Linked DNA regions of Tribolium castaneum. The protein of the gene in region 1 purifies or fractionates together with the protein of each later gene. This does not show direct contact. Links are inferred from orthologs where the notes say so. Each region holds a gene or a part of one and is shown in the gene's direction. Other genes may lie near its edges.

Region 1 (16,749 bases):
TTGTATAACACAATTAACTAGGCTTTTTCCCGCTTTGAAGCTCATCATCGCTGATTCGCAAATCGCACGTATTCGAGTGTATTGTAATCTTTTAATGTTTGAGAGAATAAGGTAGTAATATCCTATTAGATTTTAGTAACACACTTATAAAAAAAAGTAAAATTAACATGTGTGAGTTTGTGGGCATATAAAAAAACCGCAATAAGACCTACAAAACAGGAATGAATAATTATCTGGAAAAAAGTTTATACAACAAAAAATACAAAAAGTAATAAGTTTTGATGGAAAAGATTAATTAAGGCGGCCCCCTCGAAATGTCAAAATGATGTGTTCATACTTTTATACATATCTCAAAAAATAGACCACGGAGCAGTACCAAACTAAAAGCAAAATTTTTAGAAATTAATTTCCCACAAAACTGCACATTTTTATTTAGTATTGAATTCATTTTCATGGTCTGCTGATCTGAGACTTGGGTGCCAAACGCAAGATACTGCACAGATCGGAAAAAAATACATCATTCATGCACAACATAATTGTAAATATGTATGCAAAAATTGAACCCAATACTGGCAATAGCAAGGAAAAAACAACCTTTAGAAAAATTTCTTTGAGAATGAGATTTTTTAAAACTTACCACTTTCAAAATTTATTTGCCAGTTGGAGGCGCCACAATGGTTTTCGGTTGAAAATTGTTGTCGATTTTAGGATATGTATGTATAAAATAGAAAAAGGTGAAAACACATTTTTTAATTTGACAGTTTGGTTTTGACAGTTCCGGGGGCTGCCTTCATTCAATAGAACAAGTCTTGTAGCAAATTTTCGATAAAATTTTGAATAATAAAAGAGACTTTGATCTGATGTTTTAAGCTTGATACTAATGGTCGAAAAAACCTAGAATAATCAAAAATATCGTGGATTATATTATTAGCAATTTGGTTATAACGGGAATTATTTTTAAAGTAGACGACGGTTGGTCAATAAGGCAGACTGCTCTCTCTTGCAGTATTGCTAAAAATTCGGTCTTAAATATTAAAAAAAAAATGGAGACGACGTTAATACAAAAGTGTGATCAAAAATTGCTGTTTTTTAAGTCGACTATGGAATTCAAATTCAATGCGCCGCTTCGGCACGCTTCATCTAAATGATTTTTATAGTTTAGTTTCTGATTACTGACATCTCTTTCAAATCTTTGAACTAGTTTTTAGCTCACTTCTTTTTTACATTTTTCGACAAAATTGTTTGAGTTGATTTGTGTTTTATATTTTTGTGATTTTTATTGTGTATGCTTTCGTTTTTAAATGCGAAGCTCTTTTGCATTATTTTGACGGATCTGTCACTTTGATGGCATTTACAATTTATATCAAAGCTGGCTTTGATTTAAATTAGGCAGAGACTCCGCTGCCGGCAACGGCACGCATTCAAGCTATCGACAACAATATCCGGAATAGCTGCCGGCAACAATGCCCGGAATAGCTGCTGGCAGTGAATTGTTAGAATTTGCTGTTAATTCTACATTTATCTTGAACAAAGCTGTATTTTCTTAGCTTAAAATGTTTTTTTAACGACCAAATCTCTCTAAAATATATACATGACTGTGCCATGCCACCCCGGTCATTCCTTGGATGGGTGACCAGATAATGTAATGCCAAAACATAGCAACTAACTCGTCTTTCGGAGGAGACGATAAGCCGTCGGTCCCGGTCACTACTAGTTGTCGTTAGGTCAGGTCAGAGGCTGTAGATGCGACCTGAAAACCCTGGCACTTGGGTGATGACATTACCACCATACGCATATTTATACAGGGTGGCTCAGCTAAGACTTTCGAGCCTGATATCTCAGATATTTGTCAACGGATTTTTATGAAATTTAAAATGCAGATATTTTAGAAGATACAGATTAAAATCCAATTAATGCAACAACTCAAGTCTTGAAAAGGTAATTTTTACATGCCTTTTTAAAATGTTAAGCCTTTTAAGACATATTAAAAAATTGATCGTCAGTGAAAAATGCTGTTAGAAAAAACTCGTTCGTGTTTCGCAAGAAAAATGAGAAAACAAACTGTTAAACGTGGGTACAGATGCAAAAGTGTAAATCTTTATGAAACAAATGAGCACTACCATTGAATTTTGGTCAATCCTACTCGCAGAAACGTAACTGTCACGCAAGGGACATTTCACAATTATCTCTCACCCATACAAAACTAAAAAACAATATTTTTGACTTACTTTTGGTACTGGATGCTTTAATTCTTCCAAAAAGACTAAAAGACTGAACAACAACTGAAAAATTCTAAACATTTGAACATTCAGAACTTTGGAAATGTTTCGTACACTGCTAGTTGGATTGATTCTCTTCAAAAGCTTGAATTACAGCCCCAACTATTGCTTCGTTTCCAGAGACGTGTTTTGTCCTCACTCGATTAGTTCAGGTACGCTTCCTGTGTCTTCAAATTAATGACGATTCTTTGAACCTTAAATTTCATAAATAACATTTCACAAAAAGTCCAACGACACTTTCCATAGGCGAACATTGATCCCTTTTTCAACAACACACAAATTTCAGCGACTGTTGTTGGTTTTTAAAGTAATTTCACCAAACGAAAACAATTGTTCTTTTTTGACAGCGCGCACACTTTTGACAGTTTTTTTCAGTGGTACATAAAATACCGCATAGAAATGTTTCATCAATTGTTTCAAAGGGTGACTGGCCAAATTACTAACAAAATTTGGATTAAGCTTTTAACAACAAATTTTTATTTTTTTCTTGGATCAGCCGAGCGATTTGGTTAATTTTTTGTGTGGCCATTTACTTTTTGGGGTTTAATGATCCAACGGTAATTTGGCTTAATTTAAATAAAAGAAATGTGTTTCAAAATTTCATTTTTTAACTTGTGTTCATTTTTTGCCTCCTAAAATATGTGCATTTAAAATTTCATAACAATCGGTTGACAAATAACTGAGATATTAAACTCGAAAGTCTTAGCTGAGACAGCCTGTAGTACATTTATTTTATAGGAAATTTAAATTTCTACAATTTCTTCCTAACATTTTCCTTGTAGCTGTAACCGTATTCGCAGCGTTTTGAAAAATATGGAGCAGGGTGCAAATTGATAAATGTTTTAAAATTTATTATTCTTCGTCATTGTCAAAATTTCCAGTTTTTCTTCTGTGTAAGACAGTTTTGACAACTGTTTGGCATTTCTTAATACGAAACTTCAGATTATTTTTAACAGATTTACAGATTTTAACTCGTTTTCTTGTAAATTGGTTCATTTATTTTACCTCGTGGATGATAAACCAGTCGTTTTCACTCGTGGTTTGATAATCCACTCGTGAAATAAACCGTCCGATTTACACTCAAACTCGTTAAATAAATAACTATTCAAATACAGCGTGGTAAGTCCACCGCCATCGCTAAAGGTAACCACCAGAATTCAAAAGCTAGTATTAAATTTTTCCTATCTTGTTTCTTGTTCGAATAATAGTCTTTGATTAAATGCCATCAGTGGTGTTCGTTTGTTGGATTTATTTTAGACTTTAAAGTTGGGAAAATACGGGCCGATTCAGATAAAATAATGAGCCTGACGATCTGGCGAGGCAACCCAAAAAACACATTTCATTTACGCCTTTGATTCAATTTAAATTAGGATTTACAAGTTGAATCCAAGTTATCAACTTATGTCACTTTGACTTTAGCGCAGAGAACGATCATTATTGCCATTCAATTTTCGCGGAATGATAGAGAAAGTAGAAAAGTCTTTTCGATGTATAAACTACAATAAAATAAGTATGAAAGAATGAAACATTAAAGGTAGGTAATCAGTTTTTCCAAAATCATAAATTGCAACAATAAACACGGAGACAAAAAATTGACTTTTAGCGAAAAATGTGTTCAAAATGCTGGCCTCCTGCTTGTTTTTCTTGGAAGAAAAATGGCCCGATTATACGATACACGAAGATGCGAGATGCCACACTAAACATTCACCAAAACAATTTATTGAAAATGTGTTTCACTTATCTACAGTGAATTTTTTTGAGCATAGTAATGACTGTTGTGCACTATCATTGTTATAAAATTGGGCTTCATCACAAAAAAAGTTTCTGAAGTAAGTTGTTGCCAACTTGTATTTATGTTCTGATGAAGAGACAAAACTCTAATCTGTGTTCAAATTCAGTTTTCCTAAGTTCTCGTACTAGCTGAACATGATAGGTAGGAAATTTATTTTTTCTCAGAAGGACGAACTGAAGTCTGACTAATTCCTCTTGGTTCTGTGTTATGTAAGCTATTAAACGAACTTCATTTTCCAAAGTCCTAGCAGTGTGTTTTCTTTTTTCACAAAGAGGCCAATTTCTTCAAAGTTCCCACTCAGGACGTTTAACGACCATGTCTCTAGGATGTTGTCTATTTGGGAAACGTTGGGCAAACAAATTCATTGCAGCAACAGCAATGCAGAGTACAATGTGACAATAATGACTAGCACCGATGTTAAAGCTTGTCAAGCACTGTCAGCAACATAAGATAACTTGGATTGCAAATGCAAATCCTAATTAAAAATTAGATCAAGACGTAGATGGAATTTGTTTTTTGGGTTGCATCGTCAGATCGTCAGGCTCTTTATCTTATTTGAATCACCCTGTAGATAGAATTTACATATTAAAAAGATTACTTTTTTTAATTTGAAATTTTTTATTGGGCGTAAACGTTTTCTGAAGGAGGGATATATTTATTTACATCAGGAATACGCAGCAACGACTCAACGATTCGATTAAAAAATAAACATGAGAAAACTAAATACCTGTTTTTCTTGAACCAAATTATCATTTTTTCAAAATAAAAAATAACTGAAAACAAATTAAAAAATTCCTTTAGGTTTTCCATGCTCAACAAAGGGCACAGTAAAATCATTCTGATTTCATTTCTTCTCACTATATTTGCACATCTGTGTCCATTTCAGTCAGTTTTCAAGTGTCTCATATTAGGGGTCGAAGAATTTAAAAAGGCTAGAAAAATGAGTTTTTTTATTTTATTTTAAAATGCTACTATTTTTTTTCAAATTTATGTATGTTGTTACTAAGGTCTTCAGAAAGTTACCATATTTTTTTCATGCGATTTGAACGTAATTTTTTTTAATAGAAAAATAAATAATTGACTTTTTTAGCTTTTTAAATTAAGGTTTCTTCGGGCTTGCTTCGGCTTAGAGGCCCCGTATCTAATTTGCATTTTAGCGCAGACTAACTATTTTTTGTCCCCAACAATATTGTTATCATGAAATATTGCTTTAGTCAATCTTCACTAATTCGCTTGGTAGAGTATACCAATCGATTCTTCCTCGAAAAAAAAGTGAAATTTTTTGGTGTTTTTGCGATCGTTCTGTACGGTTCTTCTGAGAACCGCGATAACTTTTCACAGAGTTAACATTTTTCGATGATGAATTTTGACCAATAGGTGCCCCACGGCCGTGTTAATAACCTTATTGTTTTTTTGGGCTAATCGGTCGTCAAAAACACCTGATCTTACCCAAAATGTAAAAACCTTCCAAGTGCGATCTTGCGTCAACGGTTTACTGTAGACAGTCAAACAAATAGTCATCTTGTAGGTCCTTAGGAGAGCTCTTAAGTGGTCAAATTTGGACGTCTGCGCTTGTACCGTTTTCATGTTATCAAATAAAAACTGCATTTTTAATCAAAAAGTAGCAGACGACGTAAATGTCAATGTCAGATAATTTAATTTGTCAGACTTGGTAAATCCACTTGATTCAATTCAATTCAATTTATCAAAGGTTGCGATTCCCAAAATATTTTAAAAATTGATTCAATGATTCAATACTGTGCAGTTCCTCCTTTTCACATCGAGTAAATGCAGATTAACAACTCACATCACACATCGGTTTTCGCAAAAATCCAAGCAAATTAAAAGGTAGCAAATAGTAATCAGATAACGAGGGCCTACAGGGCCAGAATAAGAAATGGCCCGAAGGGTCAGTGCAGCGTCGCAGACCAGGGTAAGCGAAGCACAACCTTGTTACTATTTGTTTTATCTTCCATTCACTTGTAGGAGAGCTGCAAAGGTTTTGTCTACTGATGCACAGAACTGCCACAGCTAACTGATTTCCGGCGTTACACCCTGTTGATGTAAGAGCTTCTTGGGAATGTGGGAAAAAGAGATAAAATAGTATATACAGGGCGATTCAGTTAAGATTATGAGCCCAACTACCTGGCGATGCAACCCAAAAAACAAATTTCATTTACGTCTTTGATCCAGTTTCCATTAGAGTTTGCAAGTTGAACCCAAGTTATAATCCTATGTCACTCCGACATCAGCACAGTAATGGTTTGTTTTTACATTTGTTTTACAAGAATTTAATGCATGAATGTTTTTTTATGTCTCAATTTTTGGTGGAATGAAAAGTATTGTCAAATCTTCATTTCCATTTGAAGAGCAACTTTTATTTAGATTTTAATTATTTCGACGTAGATATTTATTTAAATACCTACGACGAAAATAGTAATTACAAATTTCTAATTATACCATTAATTAAAGCTTAAACATAAAAAATAATAATTGTTAAATATAGTGGAAAATAGTGTTTCTACATGTTTTTGATAAATCCATTTACTTACTCATAACGTTGGGTACTATTTTATTAATAAAACTACTAGGTTTATTGCGTTTTCTGTTCAGTGTATAATACTAATAATAAATAAGTATTAATTTAAAAAGTATTTTAAAATTTTGTAAATTTGTATAACCCTTTATTGATTTTCTAGTTTTTAAATAATACTTTAATAAAATAATCCTTTTGGTGTTTAGTTCATTAAAATTAAACAAGAATTTTTGACGTCTTATGTCTTATTGTGTTATGCAATATGAAATAAAATTCATATTAAAAATATAAGACAAAAATAGATTTTTCATATATTAATTTACTAGTAAGATCTAAATTAAAAACGTATCTATTCATATTTGTTGCTGTATTCTACGAATTTTTGTTAAAACGAGCACAGATCTCCAAAGAACTTCGCAGGAAGCAAATAAGCGAATGTTTTTACATTGATATAACCTCATTAATAAATTTATTGCCATAATTTGTACATCTACTTATTTAATAAATTCACCAAATCGTCCCACCTGTCCCTGGATCAAGCGCGGCGTCACTTAGTCTATAAATAGCACCTATCTTTCTACAACTTAAATTTACTATTTAATATTGACTCAAGATAAAATCCGTTTTTCTAATAGCAAACCTACAAATTCCCTTCAAAAAAATACATACGCTACTGGTGCTTGCGTCACCCTTAATTACTCAAGTGCTTATAATTTAAATAATCAACGGATGTCCGCGTATCCATCTCGAAGAATTAAGTTGATTAATTATTTGGAATGTGTTGACAAAACTGTCCCACGCTTAAAATTAACAACGATATTGTACACGCACGTGTTTCATAAATGGGAGACCCGGCACCAAGGCAGGGCAACAGCAGAACTAGATTTTTACATTCTTGAAAAATCTCTGGTTTACACTGGCTCGAACTTACTCCACAACTAATTGCGTCAGTTATAATTTACCTATGTTAATAGCCCTGGGAATGGAAATACATATATTTAAGTTTAAGGTAGCGAAAATTTCGATGTCATATGTAGATGTGTAAAATAATAGGATAATAAATTATTTTGATGTGACTGTAAAGTTTTGTGCAAATAGATCAAGATAAGGGAGTGATTTATTTATTCTTTTATTATTACAGAAATACGGTGAAACACCGGTGAAATCTAACATTTTTATATTAAATATTGTGTTAGTTTCCGTGAACAATATTGAAAAATAACAAGAATTGTTTTTGAATTGAATTAATGCGACTGGAAGATTCAAGAATCATTAATATGAGTATTTATGAATAAAACATTTCTTATGATCTTGACTTGCTTTTATGAGACATTAAATTCTAATGATTAAATAAACATATGCTGATTACGTCACTTGAACCCGCTTGTTTGGACATTATCAAATTAATAATTAATTACTCTCCTAAATTCAGATTGCAGAAATGGTTTCAACAAACAATAAATACAAACTCTCTTATCATTTATTAAATTATTACTGTGCCCTAATTTAATTCACAAATAAATAACTTTAATAGTCAGAATTGTAAATCATGAAGAGGAACGATATTTTATTTTCATGATTCCATGACCTACCACCTATGCTGCAGCTTGTTTTCTTGAAAGAAATCTTGAAAAAATAAAAATGAATTAAGGAACCAAAAATACGTCTGTATCTTATGCAACCAACAATTAACAAATTTTAAAAATAGAAATGCTATCACTAATTAAACATTATCATTGTTTACTTGTTGCTTTAAATGTTTTATATTATTTTTGCACCAGGACTACAAATATTAATTTTCTGATTTCTCGAAAAGTTGCTGACCTTGAAATTGACGTTTGTCCAACAACATAACCTCAGTTTCAAAGTGGTAAGATGCCCCTTAAAGGCTCTGCTCCCGTGTGCCTCAAGTGCGAAACAAGTGAATCTCCACTATGGACCAACGCCGAAAACCTGGGGGCAATCTGCTTGGACTGTGTTAACGAAGCGAAAGATAACCTCAAATCGGAACAAGAAGAGGAAAACGATGATAAATCGGAAGACTCAAAATCCATCAAACGCAAACAGCGGACTACCAGGTCGTATAAAACGAGGTTAAACCCTTTCGCGATTCCTAAAATTGGGACGCCGAAGGGGAGAGGCAGAAGAGGCATTTTTAAGAAGACGCCAATTAAAGCACCCTCTGCTGTGGCCACAACAATCACTTCTGAATCGATTTTTTATAAAGTGAGTATTATTTACTACGATAGCAAGACATTGTGTAGTTGTTTTTAGGGAAGTTATATTCAAGTGGGTGATATTGTTTCAATGCTAGATGAGGATGGTGATATTTTTTATGCCCAAATTAAAGGGTTGTTAACGGATCAGTATTGCGAAAAAAGTGCTGTGATTACGTGGCTTTTGCCTACACAAGAGAGTCCACCACCTGAGGAAGGTTTTGATCCTGCTACTTACATAATAGGTAAGGTGGTCAAGAGGGCTGTGAAAATAGTAAGAACTTATTATTATACACTATTCACGATTGTTTCAAATTCGGACTATCTATGAAAATCTGACGTTTTATTTGGCAGTACTGTGAGTTGTCGTAAGAAATTTATTTTGGGTTATAATACAGACTGATCCAGAAATACTGAGTCTGTTGGCAACACTGTACTTAAATTTTTAAGGATACCAATGGAGTACTCTTCCAGTTAACAACAATTTAACATTCTTGTGGGGTTATACGTCAAATAATTGTCAAGAGAAATCGAATTCGGTTACAGTGTTGCAAATTACGAGCACAAATATTTTCAAATGTGTTGCCAACAGACTCAGTATTTCTGGATCAGTCTGTATAATTGATGACAACCAAGCACTGTTGTCAGTTTGCTTCGTTTTTTAAATAAATTATTATTATATAAATATATATTATTGTATAAAAAAGATCGATCTGTCCGTCTTGTATTCTTTAAAGCATCTTTTGATACACGCTTTCTTAGCAACAGAAATTACTTTCGGCATTTTAAATTAACAAGCAGTAGAACTGACAACAAAGTGAAATTTTAAAAAGTGAACGTCATAAAGACAGCACCTGACAGGACCTGAGACCAACCTAACAAAAATATATCATCTACGCCTGCTGTGAGTTTAAAACAATCGTGAATGGATAATAGCTGTCTCAAAACTATAAAAACGACAACGTCGCATTTTCTCTTAAAATTAGCTGTTATAAATTATTCAGGCACTTCAAAAAATATTAGCTAATGTAATTTATACTTTCAATGAGAGATCTGATCATTAATAACTATTTTACAGTTTTATCAATCTGATTTAAAAAAAATAATTCGGTAAAATGCGTCGTTGGCGTTTTCGTAGTTTTGAAACAGCTAATAAAATAGTTATTAATGATTAGATTTCTCATTGAAACTATAAATTACATGAGCTATTAATTTTTTGAATACAGGGTGGGGTCCGAGTGGGGTATTTCTGAAATCTTTTTATCCGCAACTTTTAAAACATCTTTCGTCGCTGTCTATGTTTTAATATTATTTGAAGTTAAAATTTAAGCCAAAGAATGCTTTATCTTAAAAACGTCAATAACGTCAAAAATGTTCATAGTTGTCAATCATCGTTGTTTATAATCAGTTTTATTTCGATTTTAAATATGACGCATTATTATTCAAATGACGAAAAAACAGACATGATCCTCATCTATGGCGAATGTCGCAAGAATGTAATAGCTGCTGCAGATCTTTATTTACAAAGATATTCAAATAGAGAACAAACAAAATGACGTCAAGTGTGGCTTCCTCACAAGAAAATTCGAACGAGAACAGTTACTGATCCAGACAACGAAGTAAGAGTTCTTCAGGAAGTGGACGAAAATTCAATCAGCCAAAGGGCTTTAGCAAGACAAGGTCGAATAAGCCGAAAATCAGTAGGACGGATTTTGCGTGCTAATAAATTTCATCCTTACCACATTAGTTTGGTACAAGAACCCAAACCAGTGAGACTATCCAGAAAAATCTCAGAAAAATTAAATTTTGATGAAAATTTTTTTCGACAAAATTTTATTTATTGATGAGGTTAGATTTAGTAATAATTCGTGAAACCCATTTCCAGACTATTTTTTCAGTTAACGTATGGTGCAGTATTATTAGTGAGCACATAATTCGACCCCATTTCATTGATGGGAAAATGTGTCGTCATTTTTTCGAAATGGAATTACCTTTATTGCTAGAAAACTTGGACCTTAGTACTCGGCAAAGTTTGTAATTGCAACAAGATGGTGCTCCGCCACGCTACTACAGAATTGTTAGAAATTATTTAAATCAAAATTTTGAAAATCGCTGGATAGGATGAGGATCTAACAATATTTGGCTTTCCAAAAGTCCAGATTTAACACCGTTGCGCTTTTGTGGGGTGCAGTAAAAGAGAAAGTATACGAAGCACCAATTCAAAATGTTTAAGATCTTAAAAATCGGATTCATAAATGCAGAGCTATTACGTCAGCAACTTTACGACGCGCCCGTCAATCATTTTTTAACAGACTCGATACATATATACGTGTAGGCGGTCAGCAATTTGAAGATCTATTATACTGATTTTTGCAATAAATAAATCGTTTAATTGGTCTAATTTGATTAACTGTCATTCATCTGTCATCTTAAAGTTTTCAACAACATACTTGGATTACTAGTTTGAATTAAATTGAATATTGTATCAAGTGTTAACAGTTTAGTGTATACTGGGTTGCGTTTTTGTAGGTTTTTCGAAGTACCCCAGTCGCGCCCCAGCCTGTATTTATAACTAACTAACTAATTTTGAGAGTAAATGCGACGTTGGAGTTTGGCAGCTTTGGAGTTACAGCTAACAATTGTTTCAAAACTATAAAAACATCAACGTCGCATTTTACCGAAATATTGTTTTTAAATAAAATTGTAAAATAGTCATTAATGATAAGATCTCTTATTGAAAGTATAAATTACATTAGCTATTATTTTTTGAAGTGCATGAATAATGTATAACAGCTAATATTGAAAGAAAATGCGTCGTTGGGGTTTGATACAGTTTGAAACAGCTAACAAGTCATGCGTAAATAACAAAATTACGGATAAGTAAATATTTTTATTGACAGACTGCTGACAATACTAACCGCTAGTTTGTTTTAGAAGTTTTGGTTTTGGTTAATAATATAGGGTGAGTTTGAATTCCATCATACCCCGTAAAGTGGAGAGTCGTCACACTATTTCGCACAATCACGAAAATTTGATTTTGGACGATGCGTCCATATGAAGGCAAAAACCCGATGTAAAATTTAAGCACAAAAGACGAGTACTGGTAACTACATTTAAAAGAATGGAACAATTAAAAACTGTAAGATAGTAGTACCTCTCATTTAAAGCGTTTTGCGGCTATTCATGATTTGATTTATCAGAAGTGTCGCGTTAGGGATGGAATTAAGAGAAATTTGATTTTACGCGTTTGCAATTTTAAACTACGTTTCCGGTTTCTACACTCCAGTTTTTACAGAGTATGATGGAATTCAGACTCACCTGTATATTTAATACAGGACACATGTTTAAAAATCTGACAGATTGACAAAACACACATCATTAAGTTACCAGAGCAATCTTGATCTCTTTTGTTAATTTTAATTTCAGGTCCAGAAGAAGATGTCCCTAGGAAGTTAGAGTGCATGGAATTTGTAATGCACGCCCCCTCTGATTATTACAAGTCGAAAAATACGCCCTATCCGGCTGTGCATGCTCCTGCACAACCTGGGTATATATGGACGTCACTGGAGTCGATAAGAAGATTGTGTGGAAACCCATTACAAAACAACTGACAAAAATTTTGTGGATGTTTTGCTTTTTGCTTTATCACGTATTATTTTCTGTGTATTACAAACTACGTGATTCTTTTACTACTTTTTACATATATTGTATTAACACACTGATTACTCTTGTTTTTTCTGTTTAAATAAATTTATACAAGTACATATAACTATTACTGTATTTGGCGACAATGTAGACAATAAAACTGAACATAAATGAGACGTTGGTCTGAAAAAATTTTTCTAAATTTCACTAAATCTGTTTTTTATTTTATTTTGTGATGGATAATTTTTTTGTAATTATCCAAAATGGATAAAAGTTTGGAAATTTTAAATTGTTTTAAAATTGTATTGTAAGGAGTCATAATTATAGTCATATATTAGGTGATTTAAAACTATATAAAAGATATACAAGATGACTATTCACTCGACCGTCTACAGCATCGCCGGCTTTATAAAATGACACTTTATCTCGCCTGGGCATTTGTCAAGTTCAAGTGATTCCCAATCGAGCTTCAATTCGGGCGGAATATTTGACACATGCTGCTTTTGACGGTAAATTATTTTTCAAAACTTCAAAATATTCTTTGTATATCTTGTTTTGTTGTATCCTTCCTGTCAAGATTTTGTTAGTTGCATTGGTTTAGTTGGTTCGTTGTACTTGCGTTTAAAAATTGTCATTGTTGACAGCTCATTAATAACTTGACACTTTTAGCAGTTGACCACAGAAGTTGACGAACTATTATGAAATGAACATTGAAAATATGTATGCACATTTCATAATTGCGTATGTATTATTATAGATTTTTATCAAAATATCCATACAGGCTGCTCAAAAACTGGCGCACCAACTCAGTGGTACGTTATTGAGAAGCAAGTGCAGATTACGGGAAAAATGTGAAAAAGTTATATTTTTAAAAATCTGGAGCTACAAACTTATTGTGTAAACTTCTTTAGTTTTCATTATTTTTTTATGTTTTTATGTTTCATACCAGGTAATCGTTCTGTAACAAATCGATGAATAATTATTTTTAAATTTACTATCAGATTTTAGTAGTTTTTTTAATTTAAAAAAACGCGCGGAATTAAGGAATCACTGTTTCAATGAATTTTTTACGAAATGCCCAGGCGGGATATTCATACATTTCATTAAGGAGGACGTGGTCTACAGTAAACCGTCGACGCAAGACGCACTTGGAAGGTTTTTACATTTTGGGTGAGATCAGGCGTTTCCGGCGATCAATTAGCCCCAAAAATAATAGGATTCTTAATACGGCCGAGGGGCACCTACTGGCCAAATTTTATCGAAAAATATTAACTCTGTGAAAAACTAATGCGGTTCGTAGAAGAACCGGGCAGAACAATTGCCGAAGACCAAAAAATTTTCCTTTTTTTCGACGTAGAATCAATATCAGAAATATGTGTGTTAATTTTACTACGTAATAAAACTCCTCAAATACAACAACTTTTCTATATAAAGTTTTGCAAAATTTGTAATTTTTACTGTTTTCCTCCTTTTTTTATGCAAACGAGCCGGTCAGTTTTTAACAATTACTTTGTATTCATAGCAACAGTTTTCATTGTTGCTTTAAATTATTTAAATTGTCCGTTTCACAACGAAAATAGTCTGACTCTTTATTTTTGTACCCATAGGTGGGTACAAGTTTCAGTACGTTATCTTTTTCCAAATTTTAAGTATATTTGCGAATTTTATATTGAAAAATTACAAATCAAAAAGATGTTTTATTTGTTGAGCTCTGTTACCTATTAAAGTTAAGACACGTATTTCTAATACAAATTCATTACAATAGATATTGGCGAATTATTAAAAAATTCAAATCTTCCTTTTAGGTGTATTAAAGATATCTAGTTATTTGAAATTTGAAACGAAGACATTATTCACCCACTTTTTGTGTAGAATTTAATGGTGTAGCCGGAGAATTTTTTATTACTTTGTTTTGCTGTAATTACATACAGAAGTATTTTTTTAATAAAGAATGAATTATTTAAAAGTTACGTCTTAAGATGAAACCAAAAATTCTAATTACACTTATTAGCACTTGGATACTGCATTTAATTTTATTTTTAAAATATTAATTGAATAAACATTATTGTTTTATATTTATAATAATGATATTGATAACCCATAAATAAATTTTAGCAAAACCGTCAAGACAAACTTGACAACACTCAGAATAATCCACGACCTGGTGTTTTTGTATATTTTTGTATAGTTTGACATTGCGTGTACCACCACGTAATAGTACAAAAGCTTTGGCTGAATATGCCGTTAAATAAACTAAATATTACAACAAAAATATGTAAATGGTGAATGCGCCGGGACACCTGTAAACCTTCAGCTTATTTACAAATATAGAACAGCCTGTATTATATTTAATTATAAGAAATTATCATAAATTACTGATTATTATTCTGCGTATAAAGTGACCAAAAAGTGATGGCTGTATAGTATTCCAAGCTTTAGACTTGATGAATTTAAAAATTTAGCAATATGTTATAATATAGTATGCACCAGCTCAGTGGTACAATGGCGGACAAAAGTCTTGGGCCAATAGAAATAACTACACTTTTGATCATAGCTTTTGATTCTTGTCATTTTGACAAACAATTCCATTTGTTCAATATCGAAGACACTGTCGCACGAGGAAGACCTAGAGTTGTGTCATTTTGTCCATGCGGCATATCACTTTGGGATCTTACTTTATTAAATACGAAACTAACAGCATTTTTATTTTGTCAATTACTGATTGATGTTAATCACAATGACAAAGCATTATTTACATCAATTTGCTTTTGATTAAAAAAAGTGATGTATGAAGACTTTTATCCGCAATCGTACGTTGTGAGAAGCATGTGTAGATTAAGAAAAAAATCTTGAAAACATTTCTAGTCGTATTTAAAAAAATTTGTAGGTCCAAATTTATTCTGTTAAATTTTTCAGTTCATTAATTTTAATGTTTTTATGTTTCGCGCTAAATACAGGCTGCTCAAAAACTGGGGCAACAACTTAGCGGTACGTTGTTGAGAAGCATGTGTAGATCTCGGGAAAATTCTTGAACAAATTACTAAAGCCATATTTAAAAAACTCTGGAGCTACAAACGTATTTGTATTTTCACCTTTATTTGTAGGCAATTCTCCACCACACTCCGTTAAGTTGGTGCGCCGATTTTTGAGCATCCGGTATAATCATTCCCTAACACAATGATAAATGATTAATTTTAAATTTACTATTATCCCTAGCAGTTTTTTTAACTTAAAAAAAATAAAATTTATCAAAAAATTAAAAATGATTGTACAATGTGTTCCAGAATGGTTGTTCATCAAATCACCTATAAAATTTAAACGTGGTGTGCTGTGTAATTGAAATGTGTATGCCGTCAAGGTGACAGATTCGTCATAATACTACAAAAGACTTCAAATCTAAAAACGAAAGACTACATAACAAAAAAAACATGGAAATATAAAACACAAATCAAGGCAAACCCTCCGTTTCAAACAAATTTGCCGAAAAATGCAAAAAATGAATAAAAAGCTAATTCAATTATTTGACAGACATGACAGTACTTAACTATTTACTACAAGAGTCATCATTTGGATGAAGCGGCACACTGAATTTAAATCCTAATGCCGAGTTGATGAACAACCATTATTGATCAAATTGTATATGTGCCAACACTGGTACATTTTCTAGAAAACCGTTTCAAATATGATATTTTTTTATTGTTAATCAAATTTTATTGCGATTACGATTGTAAAACAACGTTGCCAGATACCACTTATTAAAAATTTGTAATTAAGGCGCTCCCCGAAAACTGTCAATATCAAAATGTCAAATCAAAAAAATATATGTTTTTACCTTTCTTTCCTTTTATACATGTCTCAAAATCGACAATAATTTTCAACCGAAAACCATTGTGGCGCCTCCAACTGGCAAATAAATTTTGAAAGCGGTAAGTTTTAAAAAATCTCATTCTCAAAGAAATTTTTCTAAAGGTTGTTTTTTCCTTGCCATTGCCAGTATTGGGTTCAATTTTTGCATGCATATTTACAATGATGTTGTGCATGAATGGTGTATTTTTTCCGATCTGTCCAGTATCTTGCGTTTGGTACCCAAATAAGATCAGCAGATCATAAAAATGAATTCAATACTAAATAAAAATGTGTAGTTTAGTGGCGAATTAATTTCTAATCATTTTGCTTTTTGTTTGGTACTGCTCCGTGGTTTATTTTTTGAGATATGTATAAAAGTATGAACAAATCATCTTAAGAGTTCTCGGGGGCCGCCTTAAAAGGAACGCCTCAACT
Region 2 (16,516 bases), on another chromosome or scaffold:
AGTTTAGTCGTAATTGGGAAAATAAGAAAAATAAAAAAAAATGTACCACCCACATTTATCATGTAATAACTTTCAAACTATTAGAGATAACCCTACGAAGCTTATTATCGTTGGAAAGCTCTTTAAACTATATATCTTTTTCAAAAAAGATCATTGTTGTCCGACTAATAGTTTTCGAATAAATTGCTCATAAAAGCAAAAATATGTAAAATTATAAAAATTCATAACTAAAAAACTATTGGGAATTTGACGATTTTCTCGTCGCCAATCGATTCCTCGAATCATTTTACATAAGCTAGAATCAAAATAGTTCCACTTTTTCGAATAGTTTTGACATAATTGAGAAAATAAAAAGAATAAAAAAAAAATTACACCCACATTTATCATGCAATAACTTCGTAACTATTAGAGATAACCCTACGAAGCATATTATCGTTGGAAAGCTCTTTAAATTATCTATCTTTTTCAAAAAAGATCATTGTTGTCCGACTAATAGTTTTCGAATAAATTGCTCATAAAAGCAAAAATTTGTAAAATTAAAAAAAACTCACAACTAAAAAACTATTGTGAATTTGACGATTTTCTCAACGCTAATCGATTCCTCGGATCATTTTACATGGGATAGAACCAATATAGTTCTACTTTTTCGAATAGTTTTGCCATAATTGAGAAAATAAGAAAAATAAAAAAATTTTTTACACCCATATTTATCATGCAATAACTTCGGAACCATTAGAGATAACCATATGAAACTTATTATCGTTGGAAAGCTCTTTTTCTAGGCTAATTTTGTGAGACTAATAGTTTTTGAAATATTGGGAAAATATACTTTTAGTACATACTGTGTATAAATCTGAATATCAAAAAAAATCGGTTGAAAATGGCAATAATTTAGCCATTTTAATCAAATTAAAACGAAGACACCGCTCATTTTAACCCAGTCAACTACACGCAACCTTAGCCACCTCCACAGCAAGTGACAAAATCCGATGAACGGCTAAAATTGATTAATTAAAAAAATGTGAAAATTGCGCCACAAAACGAAACATTCATTCATTTTTGATCTTTATCATTATCAGCAATGCTTCCACGAAATAACAAGTAGCTCGAGATAATTTCTTCCAACAAACAATAACTCAGTGTTGTCAATCAATTGTTATTTAAAAGTTGGCGCCAATTATTTCTTATTAAAAAAAAATAGTTCAATAATTTATATTTATAGTGAGATTACAATTGCTACAATTACTAACATTAATAACAAACGACGGATTTCCATTATTTTCCGTTTTAGTGATTTTAATATTTTGATCCGAGCTTGAAAAATCGCTCCCGTTGATAACAATCTCGTCTTTGCAGCGAGTTGTCGATAAATCGGCAACTTCACTACCGTTAATATTGTAGGAGATTTTATTCGCTTCGCTCGTATTATCCTCCACACTTGACATTTCGTCACTCAACACTTCTTCCTTAACATTTACCAACTCCTCAGGAGCATCGAGATTAACAACTTCACTACTAATAGTATTATTATTTTGAATAATCGGGGAAACCTTTGTGATGTTTTCATTAATACAGGGGAAATTCCACCGAGCTAGGCCGATGTTGGCCGACAACATTGCCGAAGTTTTGCGAAAGGCGCGTCCCGTGTAACCTTCGGCATTTTCCAAATTCAAATACTTGGCGATTCTGGAGGGAATTTCAAGGAATGTGTTTATGCCAACTGGTTGATTGTAACATCTGCCTTCATGATATCGCATGAAAAAACGCGAACAATCGACGGTTATTTTCGAGCGAAACTCGATGTATTTGCGCACTTTGTCTAAATGATCGGTGAGGACAAACATTCGGGGAATACCCGTATTTGAATCGGGGATTTTTACGATGAAAACATCGCCGGCTTCTTTCACGTTTTCCACTTTCATGTCGCACAGTTCGTGGTTGCGGCATGCGCCGGTGATTCCCATCAACATGGCGACCTGCAAGCGCAAACTTAACAAAAAAAAACAACAACAAAAATAGTTTTCGGTAAATAAATCTAACAGTAAATCTGAGAGCATTAAAACCGAAAAAGTATCAGAATGCAGTTTAAATTATCTATATTTTCGTAAAAACCCCAAGCCGCTCCGCGTAACAGTTCCGGCTACAGAGGCGATCAAAGTTTTTCAATAAAAAAATTCATAAAAAAAAACTAAAAGTCGTAGAGCACTGCGGTTTGTTCCATTGAATTCTACGGCTCATTTTACATATTATATCAATTTTTCACAGGAATTAAAAATTTAAAATTTTTTGCCTAAATTTAGGGTAGCCATTTGTCATAGTGGAAAATTTTATTCAATAAAAAAATTCATAACTCGAAAACTAAAAGTCGTAGAGCAACGCGGTTTGTTCCATTGGATTCAGCGGCTTTTTTTCTGTATTTTACCAACTTTTCACGAGATTTAAAATTTTCAAATTTTTTGCTCAAATTTCCTGAGTAATAAATTTGTGCCTACACCTTACCTTCAAAGTGATGAAAAAAAATTTTTTTTAAACTCACTTCAGCATATTTTTATGGACTTTTTTATGTCTTAACAACCCACAAAAGTTGTTAAAAGTCCACAAAAAGTCCATATGTTCAATTTTTGATGTTTGATTTTTTCAATTTTCGTCGCAAATTTTGTCGATTTTGGGTACCCGGAACTTTTGTCGAGCAATAGCTCCGGAACTATCAGAGATAACCCCATGAAGTGTATTACCGTTGGAAAGCTCTTTAAATTATTTATCTTTTTCAAAAAAAAATTAGTGTTTTCCGACTAACAGTTTTCGAGCAAATTAGAGTCAAATGAAAAAATTGGTAAAATTTAAAAAAATTCATAACTACAAAACTATTCCAAATTTGGCAATTTTCTCGATGCCAATCGATTCCCCGGATCATTTTGCATAAGTATGGATCAAAAGAGTTCCGCTTTTTCGAATAGTTTAGGCGTAAATAAGAAAATAAAAAAAAATAAAAAAAAGTTAACACCCCCCCCTTAAAATCGGTCAATTTTTAAAGTGTCTCTGAATCAAATAAAACCGATTCTATCTTATAGATTTTGATGTGCTCTTTCCGATCTAAAAAAGCGTTTTCTCCTAGCTCTTTTAGTTTGGCCGTAATCGGCGTTCGAAAGTTGAAAAAAAGTGAAAATAGAAACCTTTTTTTGCGTTTTTCTCGGAAACTGTAAGACTTAGAGCAACGAACAAAAAACCATCTGATAGCGCTTAATTTTATCTATTTTTTCGACCAAACCCGGAGCCGCTCCGGGCAACGGTACCGACTACAGAGGCGATTAAAATTTTTTACTAAAAAAATTCATAACTTAAAAACGATCAGGAATCTAGCGACTTTCTCAACGCCAGTCGATTCCCCGGATCATTTTACATAGACTAGGATCAAAATAGTTCCACTTTTTCAAATAGTTTTGTCGTAATTAAGAAATTAATAAAAAAATTGAAAAAAATTCGACTTGTGTATATGTACTCAAACTTTAAATTACCAGCCCTTGACGCAATTACTATTTGTTTTCATTGTATTTACGAAAAAATAAACAATAAAAAAAAACTGGCTCTCAGCAGGATACGAACCTACGACTTTTGAGTCACATTTGTCAACACATTAAATAAAAAGCGTAACAATTCAACGCCCTAAACCCATTACCTTCATAAGTAAATATTTCTCGTCAGGCGCCTGCTCCAAAAACTGGTTAATCATTTCCCTATTGAAAGTATTCGATTTTTTCGGCTTATACCCAGCATTTTGTCGCTTCAAAAACGCCCTCAATTTCAAATACTTGGAGATATCGATATTCTCATTGATAAAAATCGTCGTTTTCAGTATTGAATATTCACACCATTTGCTGGAAGGTGACCTCAGAATCGAATCCTTCTCCTGAAAGTACGCCAGAAGGAGAGCCTCCGAAACGGGAGCATTGTTCTTCGTCAAACACCAATCTTTAAACATTCTGTACGTGGTTTCGTAACGCTTTTTCGATTTTTCGGGCAATAAAGGCGGATTTGAAACGGACGTTTCTTCCATTTTTTTGACACTAATTAATCAACTTTTTGACAGTTTAACCAAACACTAGTGAAACAACATGGCCAGGCTGTCTAGAGGCTGTTTTCACTTTTATTACATGCGTTCGGAATGTGGGGAATGCTGCGCAGTGACTATTTATGTAACAAGTGGGATAAAGTCATTATAACATAACTGCGATAGGCCACACACTTTACACCAGTGTATTAATGATTGTGTGGTATTTTAAACAGTTTTTGTGCAAGGCAACGGTTGGCGATACTGTCGTTTGACAGTTGTAGAGGTGATAGGTTACAATTTGTAACAACTTGTACAGTTTTTTCGGTTTAATTCCCAATTTTTGATAACATGGATCCAAGTAAGTGCCCCCCAGTTTAAACCACACCTTTTCCACCTTTCGAAAATTGTCAATTGAAAATTTTCCTTTGATTTATTATAATTTTATGTAAAATCATTCTGACATGTCATAAATTCCCAGTCATTGTTTATTTTGGTCTTTGGGGATTAGAAATTCTCGTTTTTTATTTGCAGCTTTAAGCAAGGAGACTTTGGAGAAATTCCGTTCGAATTTCTTCTCAGACGAGAAGAATATTTTCGCTCAAAATGTGTGCTCACGTATTGACCCATTTGACGCCTGTCTTTCGCGTAAGGCCCTCGAGGAGACCCATCATGTGTACGAGCACAAGGTGGAGGCCGAAGGCAAGCCGGTCAGCAATCAAAAAAACTCAGGCCGGTGCTGGATTTTTGCAACGATGAATGTTATCAGACTGCCCTTTATGAAGCATTTAAATATTGATGATTTTGAATTTTCGCAAGCCTATCTGTTCTTCTGGGACAAGATCGAACGGTGTAATTTTTTTCTTAATAATATTGTCGAAACGGCCAAGCGGAACGAACCGGTGGAGGGACGTTTGGTGGCTTTTCTACTCAATGTAATTTTTTTTTTTTTAATTTTTTGGAAAAGATTTTTTGGGTTTTGTCTAGGATCCGATTTCGGACGGAGGCCAGTGGGATATGATTGTTAATTTGATCAATAAACATGGACTTATGCCCAAGAAGTGTTTTCCGGAGTCGTTCAGTTGCGAAACGAGCGCCAAAATGAATCAAATCCTCAAGACTAAAGTGAGTATAAACATTCAGAAAAGCTCGTTTTTTCTTATATTTTTGTTTTTTCATGGGTATGCCCTTTTTAGTGATTATGCCCTCTTTTCCATGATAATGCCCTCTATTTCATGATAATGCCCTCTAAACCATGATAATGCCCTCTAATCTCAGATTATGCCCCTTTTTTATTTTTTACGATTATGCCCTCTTTTTATTATTATGCCTTTTTTTCACAATTGCGACGTTTTTAGTAAATTTTGCCAGATTTTTATTTTCCAGATTGTGCCCCCTTTCCCCCGATTATGCCAATTTCTTTCCTGATAATGCCCGTTTTTGTTTAAGATCTTGAAAAATTTTTCAAAGATCCATATCTTTTATGATTGAAATAACCTCGATATGGAAAAAAATGTGTGACCTTTGTGTACAAATATGAATAATGTAAGATGTGTTAGAACATTTTTTTCTTTATTTTCAATTTTTTCTATTTTATTCGTTAATTTTAAATTTACAAAGTCAGAAATATTCTTTATTGTATACCTTATTGTATATTTTTTTACGTTCAAGGTTGGATTTTCTCAATTTCTCAAGGTTATAATGGAAAAAAAGTGATAAATATGCCAACTAATTAAAGATGGGAATAAGTTATAATATAAACTTATATTATTTTTTATAAAAAAATAGATACAAAGATTTAATAAGTACATGGAGGAATCTATTGCACGTTAAGACTTTATTAATTTCATATCTACAATTTCATCATTTTAAAATATAGTGTTTTTTTTTCGTAAGTACGTTATTTCCTCCCTCATTTTCCTTCCCAGGGAGGAAATAACGTAATTTCATGGTTGTTGGTTTTTCTAAATAATAGTAATAATAATTAATTGAAACTATACTTTAAGTTTTCTCTATCATTAGCCGTATTATTGCCATTGTTTTTTTTATCAGAGTAATGTAAAGGAAGAGTACTGATTATAGCGTCAAGGTGTTTTCTTTAATCATAGGAAATGAATTCTAAATAGAATATTTTAACGTCATTTTATCCTTGTGCGGTAATACATACAATATTTTTTATAAAATGTAGGAATTATTAACTGTCTAAATATGTAGAAATATACAGTTTTTTAACTTATTTTGTGATGAATAAATTGAAATTTTCAATTCATTTTATGTATTTATTTACAAAAATTACGTTTTTCCATATGGAACCAAGCGAAAAGAATAAAAAAATATAAATACAATGGGAATAAATAAATCTTTAAAAAGAAAAGTGTAAACAAAAATTAATATAGAAATGCAAATTCTTATTTTTTTCTCTTAACTGTAAGCTCAAAATGGGTAGTTAATTAGTTAAAAAATAACTAATTAATTTTAATTTTACTTGTTTTTTTTTTAATATTTTGGGTTGCTTTGAAACTGTAGTAACAAATATTGTTATTGCATTTGGTGGACGAGCCGCAGCCGAGTGCCTAATCCTCACATTTCAGTTGCGTGAATACGCGAAAACGATCCGAGACCTGATCGCCAAAGGCGAAGGCGACCTCAAAGTACAAAACGTAATACGCGAACAAATGAATACGATTTATCGTATTGTTGGCATTTGTTTGGGTGTGCCTGCTGAGACGTTCACTTTCACTTATTACGATAAGAACAAGACTTATCACAGCATTGGTCCAATAACACCTAAAGCGTTCTATGAAGAGCATGTGAAGCCTGTTTTCGATGTCGATAATAAAGTGTGCATAGTTACCGATCCGCGACCGTCTAACCAATACGGTAAAGTATACACAGTGGATTGTCTGGGGAATGTTGTGGGTGGACGTCCCTGTATATACAACAATCAACCCGTTGAACTTTTACTCGATGCCACGGCCAAGTCGATTAAAGATGGCGAGGCAGTGTGGTTTGGGTGTGAGGTTATGAAACGATTCGCCGGAAAACAGGGGATTTTAGATTTGAAAATGTAGGTTTTTTTTTGGTTGGTTGGGTTTGTGGTTATGGTTTTTTGGTTTTAGTCATAATTTTCCGTTGGTTTTTGGTGTGGATATTCAGACGATTTTGAGTAAAGCCGATAGATTGATTTATGGAGACAGTGCCATGTCACATGCGATGGTTTTCACCGCTGTGAGCTTGAACGTAAGTAGATTTTTATGTTGGCAGTGTTGCCACCTCAAACAAATATTTTTGATCACCCGGTAGATTGTATTCACACCGATATTTTTCCTGTTGGCAACACTTAATCACCAGAGATTTGGTGATTTTAGTGCTAATTTGCTTAAAATCGATAGGTTTTTACTTTTATTCGAGTATTTTAGTGCGTTTTTCCTTTACAAACGTAAATTTTTTATTAAAAGCCACAAAATTTCGCCAAAAATGCAGTTTTTCCAAGTCTAAACCATAAACTAAACCTTGGAAAATAACTAAAATAGAAATCTAGGAGCTTTTCAGCTCGGATCTAGTAGGCATGATTGTGAGCTGGCAGCACTGGACATGGCCAACTTAGAGCACAATTTTGACCAGACTCATTATTTTTTATTGTTTTTCTGACAGGAAAAAGATGAAGTGACGAAATTGCGTGTGGAAAATTCATGGGGTGAAGATCGTGGCGAAAAAGGCTACTTGATTATGAGTACTGACTGGTTCAAGGAGTACGTTTTTGAAGTGGTGGTTGATAAAAAGTATGTTCCTGTTGATGTTCTTGAAGTTTTTAAACAAAAACCGATCGTCTTGCCAGCTTGGGACCCCATGGGAACACTTGCCAATGTTTCATGTTAATTTGTATTTTTTGCTCCAATAAAATTTTGTGGCAATAAGTCAGTGTTTTATTTATACGGCGATACAAAGATAATATCTGTTTCAAAACTACAAAATTAACTGTCACTTGTCAATTAGTTTTTTCTTCTAACTAGTGGGCTTTTTTGGCACTAAACTGATCACCAGAGCCCGATTTGAACATAGAAAGTTTTTAGTTGTGACATACATGACCCCAAGAAATGTAAATGCGCCATTGCTTTTTTATAGTTTTGAAATAGCAAGTACATTAGGGAAGAGATTTTTTATTGGAATAATATCTCGCGATTGAAACTTGTGGTTGGAAACAAAGTCCGTGACTAATTCAATAATTAATTAATTCAGTTTTTGTAAAAATAATTAATTATTCGTGTGAATGAAGGGAATATTTGATAATGGCGCTGCTCGGTCGGTAAGTCGGTAAAAGTGACAGCTCGCGGCAAACACTGTCAAAAACCTGCCAAACGTTTTATAAATAAGCGTAAAAATTCAAGTGTTATTAATGAATTTATCTCAACCGATTGATCGTTTCGCCCCCATTTCACCGTCATCATAACCAAATTGCAGTTTTCAGTGCCATTCATATTTTCCCCCAACCATGTAACCAAAACCGAAAAAACCAAACTCGAGTGAGTGAAAAACCACTCAGTTCATTCCCACGCCACCGTTCTCCTCAGCAATGGCTTCAATCGAGTACGATTTGGACACATCTGGGGGTCTCATGGACGTAAGTCGCGCAAAATGGCGGATTTCCGCAGCCTTTGTGTGCGCTTTTGCAGCAAATCCAGGCTCTGATCGCGCCCCCGCAGTCCGAGGACACGAAATCGCGCAAGGGGGCCACCGCCACGGAGCACCCGTACTTCAAGCGGCCGGGAAAGGGGCACAACCACGACAGTTGCGACGCGTGCGGCGAAGGGGGCGATTTGATTTGCTGTGACAAGTGTCCGTCGAGTTTTCATCTGCAGTGCCAGTAACACGGGGACGCCCCGGTTTGTGGTTTTGGCTAAACGGTTGCGTTTCAGTGATCCCCCATTGGAGGAGAAGGATATACCGAGTGGAGAGTGGTTGTGTCACAGTTGTAAATATGCAAAAAAGAGCAATGCGCCCCAAACGAGGAACAAACGCTCGGCGTCCACGCCGGCGGGGAAAGCCCCCAAAAAGGCGAAAGTCAGTCCGATGGATTTGTTAATTCAGGCTGCGAGTTCAATGAATCCCAAGCAGTTTGATTTGCCCAGGAGTATGAGTGTACCGTGCATTTTTCCAGGGACTGATAAAGGTTTGTTCAGGTTGTTTTGTTCTTTTTTTCCATGAGATCAATTTTTTTTTTGATTTTTTTTTGTTGTTTAAATTCAACAAGGAATCAATTTTTGACACGGCCTGCTCTAATTCAGTTCATTTTCGATCACATGTTATAATTTTACAGCGTCAAGTTATAAAAAGTCTTTAGATCAACTCTTGCTGTGGAATTTAGATTGCTAGATTTTTATTGTCTTTGATAGATTATCGTTTTATTCTGTTGAAGTGTCAAACGTGCTACTTGCACGTATATAGTAACCGAAGAAATCAACATACCTTCAAAATTTCACAGCAAGAGTTGATCTAAAGTCTTTTTGAACGCATTATATAATATTACAGGATTTTTGTCAAAATAAAAACCACTAAACTCGCAGTTAAAAAAATAAAATCGCTTCAGACTGTTAGAAAATTAACAATTTTGTAGAAGTTATTTGATTTTTGATGATTTCTGGCTCAAAAATATCGAAACCAGGTGTTGGAAATTTAAAATCGCTTTATTCTATCCAACAAAACAACGTGATTTATTTGAAAACATTTTATTTTTTAAGATTTCTGCCTTAAAACGACGAAAATCGTAGTCAAAAATATAAAATCGCTTAAACAGTTTGGAAGAAAACGATTCATTTTGGACAATTTCTTGCTTAGAAACGTAGAGAATTGGTTGAAAACTCCGCATTTCGAACGATTCTTTGCTCAAAAAAAAAAAAATTCATAAAACTGGCTAAAAAAAACGGTTTATGTATTAGTTTGGAAGAAAACGATTAATTTTGGACAATTTCTTGTTTAAAAATGAGAAAACTCTGAGAATTGTCTGAAAACGGCTTATTTTACCTGAAAACGATATTTATGTTATAGTTTAGATAAAAATAAAAATTTGAGATAACGTTTTTGTTTTTTGATTTTCGATAATTTTTTGCTTAAAACGTTATCACCTATTGTCTAAGACCTAAAATGGCTTTATTCTGATGAAGAAAATAACAATTTGGGCATTAATTTAACGGAAAACATATAATTTCGGATTATTTCTTTTTCTCTAAAATGACAAATAATAATAATAATAATAATAAAAGCCTTTATTCAAGAAAAGAATGTGAGAAGGCAAAGTTTAGCTAACCTCTCACAAAACAAAACAAAAACATACATTTTTCAAAATAAATTAAAAAACCAAAACTAAAAATAAATGCGAAAAGAAAAACTTAAAATATTAATATTAGAAAATAATATAATTTTTAAATAATAGTAAAAGAAAAAATATGTGTCCTGAATACTTTGAAAAAAATAATAATAATAAAAATAAAGATACAAAATGAAAACAAAACAACAAAAGAATAATTATTCAATTAATAAAAAATTTAACTTTATTGCCTTGCTGCAGAAATTTTTTATTCGATTATTAATACGAGAAAAAAGGGTGCAGTTCAAAAGGGTTTCCCAAATTTTTGTACAATTGGCTTATTGTTTAAACTTGTTAAAAATTTAATTGATTGATTTTTCTATAAAAAAAAATATGTTCAAATCGCATAACTTTCTGAAGGTCTTAGCAACAATATAGCACATAAAATTGAAGAAAAAATTTCGTCTCATTTGAAAATAAAATGAAAAAAAAATTTTTTTTGCTCATTTTTTTCTGTAAGACAATGATTTCTTCTAGGAACAACATCCATAAAATAAAAAATTGAGTTAAGTTGTTACATAATTATAAGCCACTCTGAAAACATGGATTAAACAAGACTGTTACGTTTCACTTAGTAAAATCAATGTTGCAATTATTATAACAGCCTGTTTTATTGATTTCATTTTCATTTTTAATTTACTCTTTTTTCTAATCGATTTACTTAAATAATTTATTCAGCAGATTCTATTGTGTACTCGTTTCGTAAAACTCATTTGTAATTCAGCGTTTAAAATTCAGTAGTCACAAGTAAACGTCGATTATTGATTTAGTTTTGTCTTTGTCTTTCCGTCTGGTAATAAATACAAAATATTTTGCTAGAATTTTAACTTTAATTTTTGTACTTTTGTAGGCGTTTTAAATGTTGTATCTAATTTTTTCAGTCGAAGCCCCATATTCTCGCAACGGCCGCAAAAGCATGAAAGTCCACAAAGACCACGAGAAAAAACAAGATGCTACAATTTTCCTTCCAGCAAAGAAATGCCACGAATGTCGCAAATCTTGCCGTGTAGCTCCGCTAATATCGTGCGACTTTTGCTCCCTATACTTTCACATGGATTGCTTAGATCCACCGCTAACAACGCCACCTAGCGGCCGCTGGATGTGCCCGAATCACGTCGAACACTATCTCGTAAGTTTTCGGCAAAAAATATAAGTTGTCCGATTTTAAAAACAAGTTTCTAAAACACCCTGAGTTATTATTTGTTTTGTTAGGACTCTAAACTGTTGACTTCGATTTCGGCCACCGAACGCATCAAACTGTGGGATAAATTCAACGGTCCCGTCGATCAAGACGCCATACGTTTGGAGTTTTTTCGTAAAATTCACAGTAAAAATCCGCCGTTTCGTGTAAAAATTAAATTGGCGTCGAAAAATCGCGTTAAAGTACCGGCAATGGTCAAATATCATTATCGTAAACCGGTGAAATTGTTGCCGAGTTTGAAGGATGTCTTGCGGTTAGAGAGTGTGTTAAACAATCGAGAGCAGATGGTTGAGGACGCTGTTAAGTGTGAAGATGTTGAAGTTGTACAAAGTTTGTGTAACGGTCCGGAGGATCAAACGTGTGATAAAAGTACAGATGAAAATACGAATAATACTCAAGAGGACGACACAAAGGAGGATTTTTGTCGAAATGGTTGTATTAAAAATGAGGTAATGAATGGGGCAACGGTTGACCAAAAGGACAATATTTTTTTGCCGGACGTCGTCTCGGATATTACGAACGAAGGTGAGTTAACAATTCATTCAGAAATAAATAAAATGCACTGACCTTTTATGCCGAAGTCCCGTCTTAAACGCACCCACTGAAATAAAAATAAGGAAATTAGAACAATGTGCCATTAAATTATCGTTGTTTAGATTTTTTACTTTGGCTAGGGACATTTAATAGGTTGGTATCGCCGTCGTTGCTATGGAAACGGTTATTTTTTCTGTCCTGTTACCAACCCATTAGCAAAAACAACTTGTTTGGAAAGCAGTTTACTTCATGCAGCACTCGCTGCGCTCGTGGAGCAAACAAGGTGCTCATGTGATTGCACTTTCCAAACTCGTTGCGAAATTTTTCTAAAAATAATTGCAGACGAACCGTTTAATCCGGATTGTGTGCTTCTTTTCTCCCTTAAAATCTAATCCATTAGCACACACTAACACAAACCACTTTAAATCGTAGTAAATTTTGATTTAATTTAAGACGCGTCCGTTCGCGACAACAGCCCGTAACAAACTGATAAATGAAACGGCACTAAATAGGGAGAAAACGTCACCCACAAAAAATATAATCTGGGAGATAACTTACTTGAGAGAGGTGGGAAACAAATAGGCTTGAGTGAGTCATTGTTTTTTGTTGCGACTTCGACACTTATTGTGGCTGTTTTTTTGAAGGTCATCTCTTAAGCAAATAATTTTAGCGAGGTTTTTAAATATTCGTTATTTCGTTATTCTAAAAATTAAAGTAAAACCATTTTAACGAGAGAAATTTTTGTGTTTCTAACTAAAAGGGCGACCTGATTTCTTGCTAAAATAATTACATTTATTCTGAAAAATATTCCAAAGCGTTCAATGGAAACAAAAATTATGTGGACCTAATTTTTATTTTAGTAGAATTTCGCCAGAAAAACTGTGTTACTGGCCTAAAAATAAAACTATGTTCGGTCAAATAATTTTATTATTTTTCGGGTAATTTTTGACGAAATTTTACAAACTTATCGTGTTTTTAACCAAAAATTGTGGTGTTTCTAGCTCAAGTAGACAAAAATGCTTGAAAAAGTTACATAATTATATTTATTTCGGTTAACACATATCATGAGTTTTCCGGTAAGATGTTATGGAATAATCGTATTTTTTATTAAAGATTGTGTTAAAATGTTCTAATAGTGCAAAAATAATGTACTCGCTTGTGTATAAAAAAATTCTAGCATCTCGAAAATTTTGCTACACAAAAAAAAACGTTGCAAGAAAAATTTCCACAAAAAGGCAATTCCAAACAGAAAATCGAACTTTGGATTCGAAGTTATCAGAAAATTCTGCATAAGGATCAGTTTTAGAAAGTGCAATTTCCCACATGAGCACTTTGTTTGGTCCACGAGCGTAGCGAGTGCTGCATGAAAAAAATGTTTCTTACAAAATGATTTTTCTATTTTTCTTATGTGTTTAATTCCTCTATAATTTTGTTAAATAGAATTAGATATTTTTTTATTATTATATTTTGTATTATTTTATTATTTTTCTGTTTTTTTCCATTTATTGTCTGGGCCAAAACCTTGATCAGCTTTGCTGCCTTTTAGTCCAATTTGTGGTAAGAATAACTTGTAGAAAATTTTAATTTTGTTATCGTATTATTTTTTCTTGTAACTATTTTACTGCCATAAATAAATTATTATTATTATTATTATTATTATTATTATTATTATAAAGTGCGAATATGGGAAATTGCTTTACAAACAAGTAAGGTACAATATTTTTTGTAACAAATCTCTCAAAAAAATTTAATAAAAATTAATATTTTTTATAATTTAGTGTTTATTCCTAATGTGTTGGTAACAGGACAAACAATCAAAAATTTGGCAAGAACTGTCACTTATCGTAAAAAAATAACCGTTTCCATCTCAACGATAGCGACACCAACCTATTAAATGTCCCCAGCCATTGTTGCAAAGTAAAAAACAACACAATGAGTACAAAAAAATTTGAGTAAAAACTCAAAATACTCGAAGATAACAATAACCATTTTCGGTGTTTATTCCAACAAAATTTCGATTGCAAATTTTGCTAAAATTTTAACTTGTATTTAAAGAAATTACGTTTATAGCTCACATTAAATTTGTGCTAGAAATCGCACGAAAAAAGCAAAGTATTAACACTGTTTTACCCCAAATTTTGTGGTTTTCTGGCTTACTTTTACAAAAAAGGCTAAAATAACAACAATTTCGCTCAAATGTAATGATTTTGATCCAATTTTGGTGAATTTTTGCAAAAAAAAAAACACCACAATCAATTTTATGACAATCAAGCAAATTCTGAAACGTAACCATGGCAACAGTTCATTGCCAACCCGAAAATCGGTTCAAATCAAGTAGGTTTGAACGTGCTAACTGTCATTAATTTTTTGTCCAGTTGAAGTCGAATTGAAGCAATTAGACGACCGATTGGTGAAACTCCTCGCTTATCAGCGCATCCAGCACCTGCTCAACCAGCCGAACAATTCCGCCAACTTAAATTTGTATCTACCGTCGAATTTGCAGAGCAAATTACGTCACATGCCTATGCCGAGTGAATTGTTGACGCCTGCCGATATCGAACGAATATCGCGCGTTTTTTCCAGTCCGAAGAAGAAAATCAAGCCGAAGTCGGCGCTTCGCGCACGTGCTATGATGTGTCCGGTGGTTTCCCCACATTTCTACAATGTGCGCACGTCCGAAGTCAGTCCGAACGATGTGCGACACGACGATAGTTTTCTCGGATTTAGGCCGACGGTTTCGGCGAGATATCCCGAAGCGGTGGCGATGAGATACCGGGTGTTGAATGTGGGGAAAGGATCGTCCAATGATGTCGATTTGGAACGGTTTGGACATTGCAATAACATATCGGCAAGGCATGCGATCATTTTCTACGATGAGGTGAGTTTTTCTAGGGAATTAGGCGAAGGAAAGTTGGTACACTCGTTTGTTATACAAGACGATAAAATTTTATTTTATCTTCCACAGCGGTCAAGAAATTCAACAATCAAAAGAACGTCAAAAACAGAAAAACAATTAAAAAAAAAACAAAAACAAGTAAACAGTGGATAAAATACCATTTTATCGTTCACTATGAAATAAAAGTTTTATCGGACTTGTCTTTCGAGAATTTCGCATTAATTATTATTATTTATTAGTGTTGAAAAATGAGTTCTTAATTTAAAAAAATCTACTCAAAAACAGTTGAAAAAAGGCAAAAATAACAAAGAAATAAAAAGAAATTGAATTAAAACGACTCGTAGCGCTTTTAAGCAGTTCATTATCTGCTACTGAACAAAATTTTGTGATAATCGAGCCAAAATTTTGCAAATAATATCCGAATAAAACAACTTGGTCAAAATTCTTACTTACCTACCAACAATAAAAAAATCGTCAAAATTACAATAACCAAAAATGTGTGTTAATAGTATGGTTTTTGGACGTAAAATTGTCTGAGGATTCCAAATCTGTTTTCATTTTTACTGTACGAATAGTAGTTTTGAAGATAATCAACGAAATAGGGTCGATTTTAATTTTTGCAATCAACAAAAAAATTAAAAAAAAAAATAAAGAGAAATTGGCCTAAAACGACTCGCAGCGCTTTTAAGCAGTCCATTATCTTTTACTGAACAAAATTTCGTGATAATCGAACCAAAAATGGGCAAATAATAGTCGAATAAAACAACTTGGTCAAAATTCTTACTTGCCTACCAACAATAAAAAAATCGTCAAAATTGCAATAACCAAAAATGTATGTTAATAGAATGGTTTCTGGACGTAAAATTGTCTGAGGATTCTAAATCTGTTTTCATTTTTACTGTAAGAGTAGTAGTTTTGAAGATAATCAACGAAAATGGTCGATTTTAATTTTTGCAAACAAAAAAATAAAAAAAATTAAATAAACAGAAATTGGTCTAAAACGACTAACAACGCTTTTAGGCAGTTTATTATCTGTTACTAAACAAAATTTCATCATAATCGAGCCAAAAATGCGCAAATAATATTCGAATAAAACAACTTGGTCAAAATTCTTACTTGCCTACCAACAATAAAAAAATCGTCAAAATTGCAATAACCAAAAATGTATGTCAATAGTATGGTTTCTGGACGTAAAATTGCCTGAGGATTCCAAATCTGTTTTCATTTTTACTGTACGAGTAGTAGTTTTGAAGATAATCAACGGAATATGGTATATTTTAAGTTTTGCAATCAACAAAAAAATAATAATAAAATAAACAGAAATTGGTCCAAAACGACTCGCAGCGCTTTTAAGCAGTACATTAACTGTTACTGAACAAAATTTCGTGATAATCGAACCAAAAATGCGCAAATAATAGTCGAATAAAACAACTTGGTCAAAATTCTTACTTGCTTACCAACAATAAAAAAATC

Evidence for each region.
Region 2: the proteins of GATA zinc finger domain-containing protein 1 (region 1) and PHD finger protein 12 purify together in Homo sapiens (affinity purification with mass spectrometry; 7 studies listed by BioGRID and IntAct, with this or other methods). This does not show direct contact. The link is inferred for Tribolium castaneum from reciprocal best matches to the Homo sapiens genes GATAD1 and PHF12.

What each region holds. Positions count from the first base shown.
Region 1 is NC_087396.1:8,742,107-8,758,855, forward strand, and holds GATA zinc finger domain-containing protein 1, read left to right. Parts: upstream 1-8,399; 5' UTR 8,400-8,482; coding exon 8,483-8,833; intron 8,834-8,881; coding exon 8,882-9,068; intron 9,069-12,249; coding exon 12,250-12,434; 3' UTR 12,435-12,592; downstream 12,593-16,749. UniProt on the Homo sapiens protein: Component of some chromatin complex recruited to chromatin sites methylated 'Lys-4' of histone H3 (H3K4me), with a preference for trimethylated form (H3K4me3).
Region 2 is NC_087401.1:17,004,569-17,021,084, forward strand, and holds the start of PHD finger protein 12, read left to right. Parts: upstream 1-8,340; 5' UTR 8,341-8,621; coding exon 8,622-8,669; intron 8,670-8,721; coding exon 8,722-8,912; intron 8,913-8,964; coding exon 8,965-9,218; intron 9,219-11,293; coding exon 11,294-11,541; intron 11,542-11,624; coding exon 11,625-12,138; intron 12,139-14,522; coding exon 14,523-15,025; intron 15,026-16,516. Other genes in the region: uncharacterized protein LOC103313307, read right to left, coding at 1,203-1,976, 3,677-4,054; bleomycin hydrolase, read left to right, coding at 4,400-4,409, 4,583-4,983, 5,036-5,173, 6,640-7,115, 7,168-7,288, 7,703-7,927.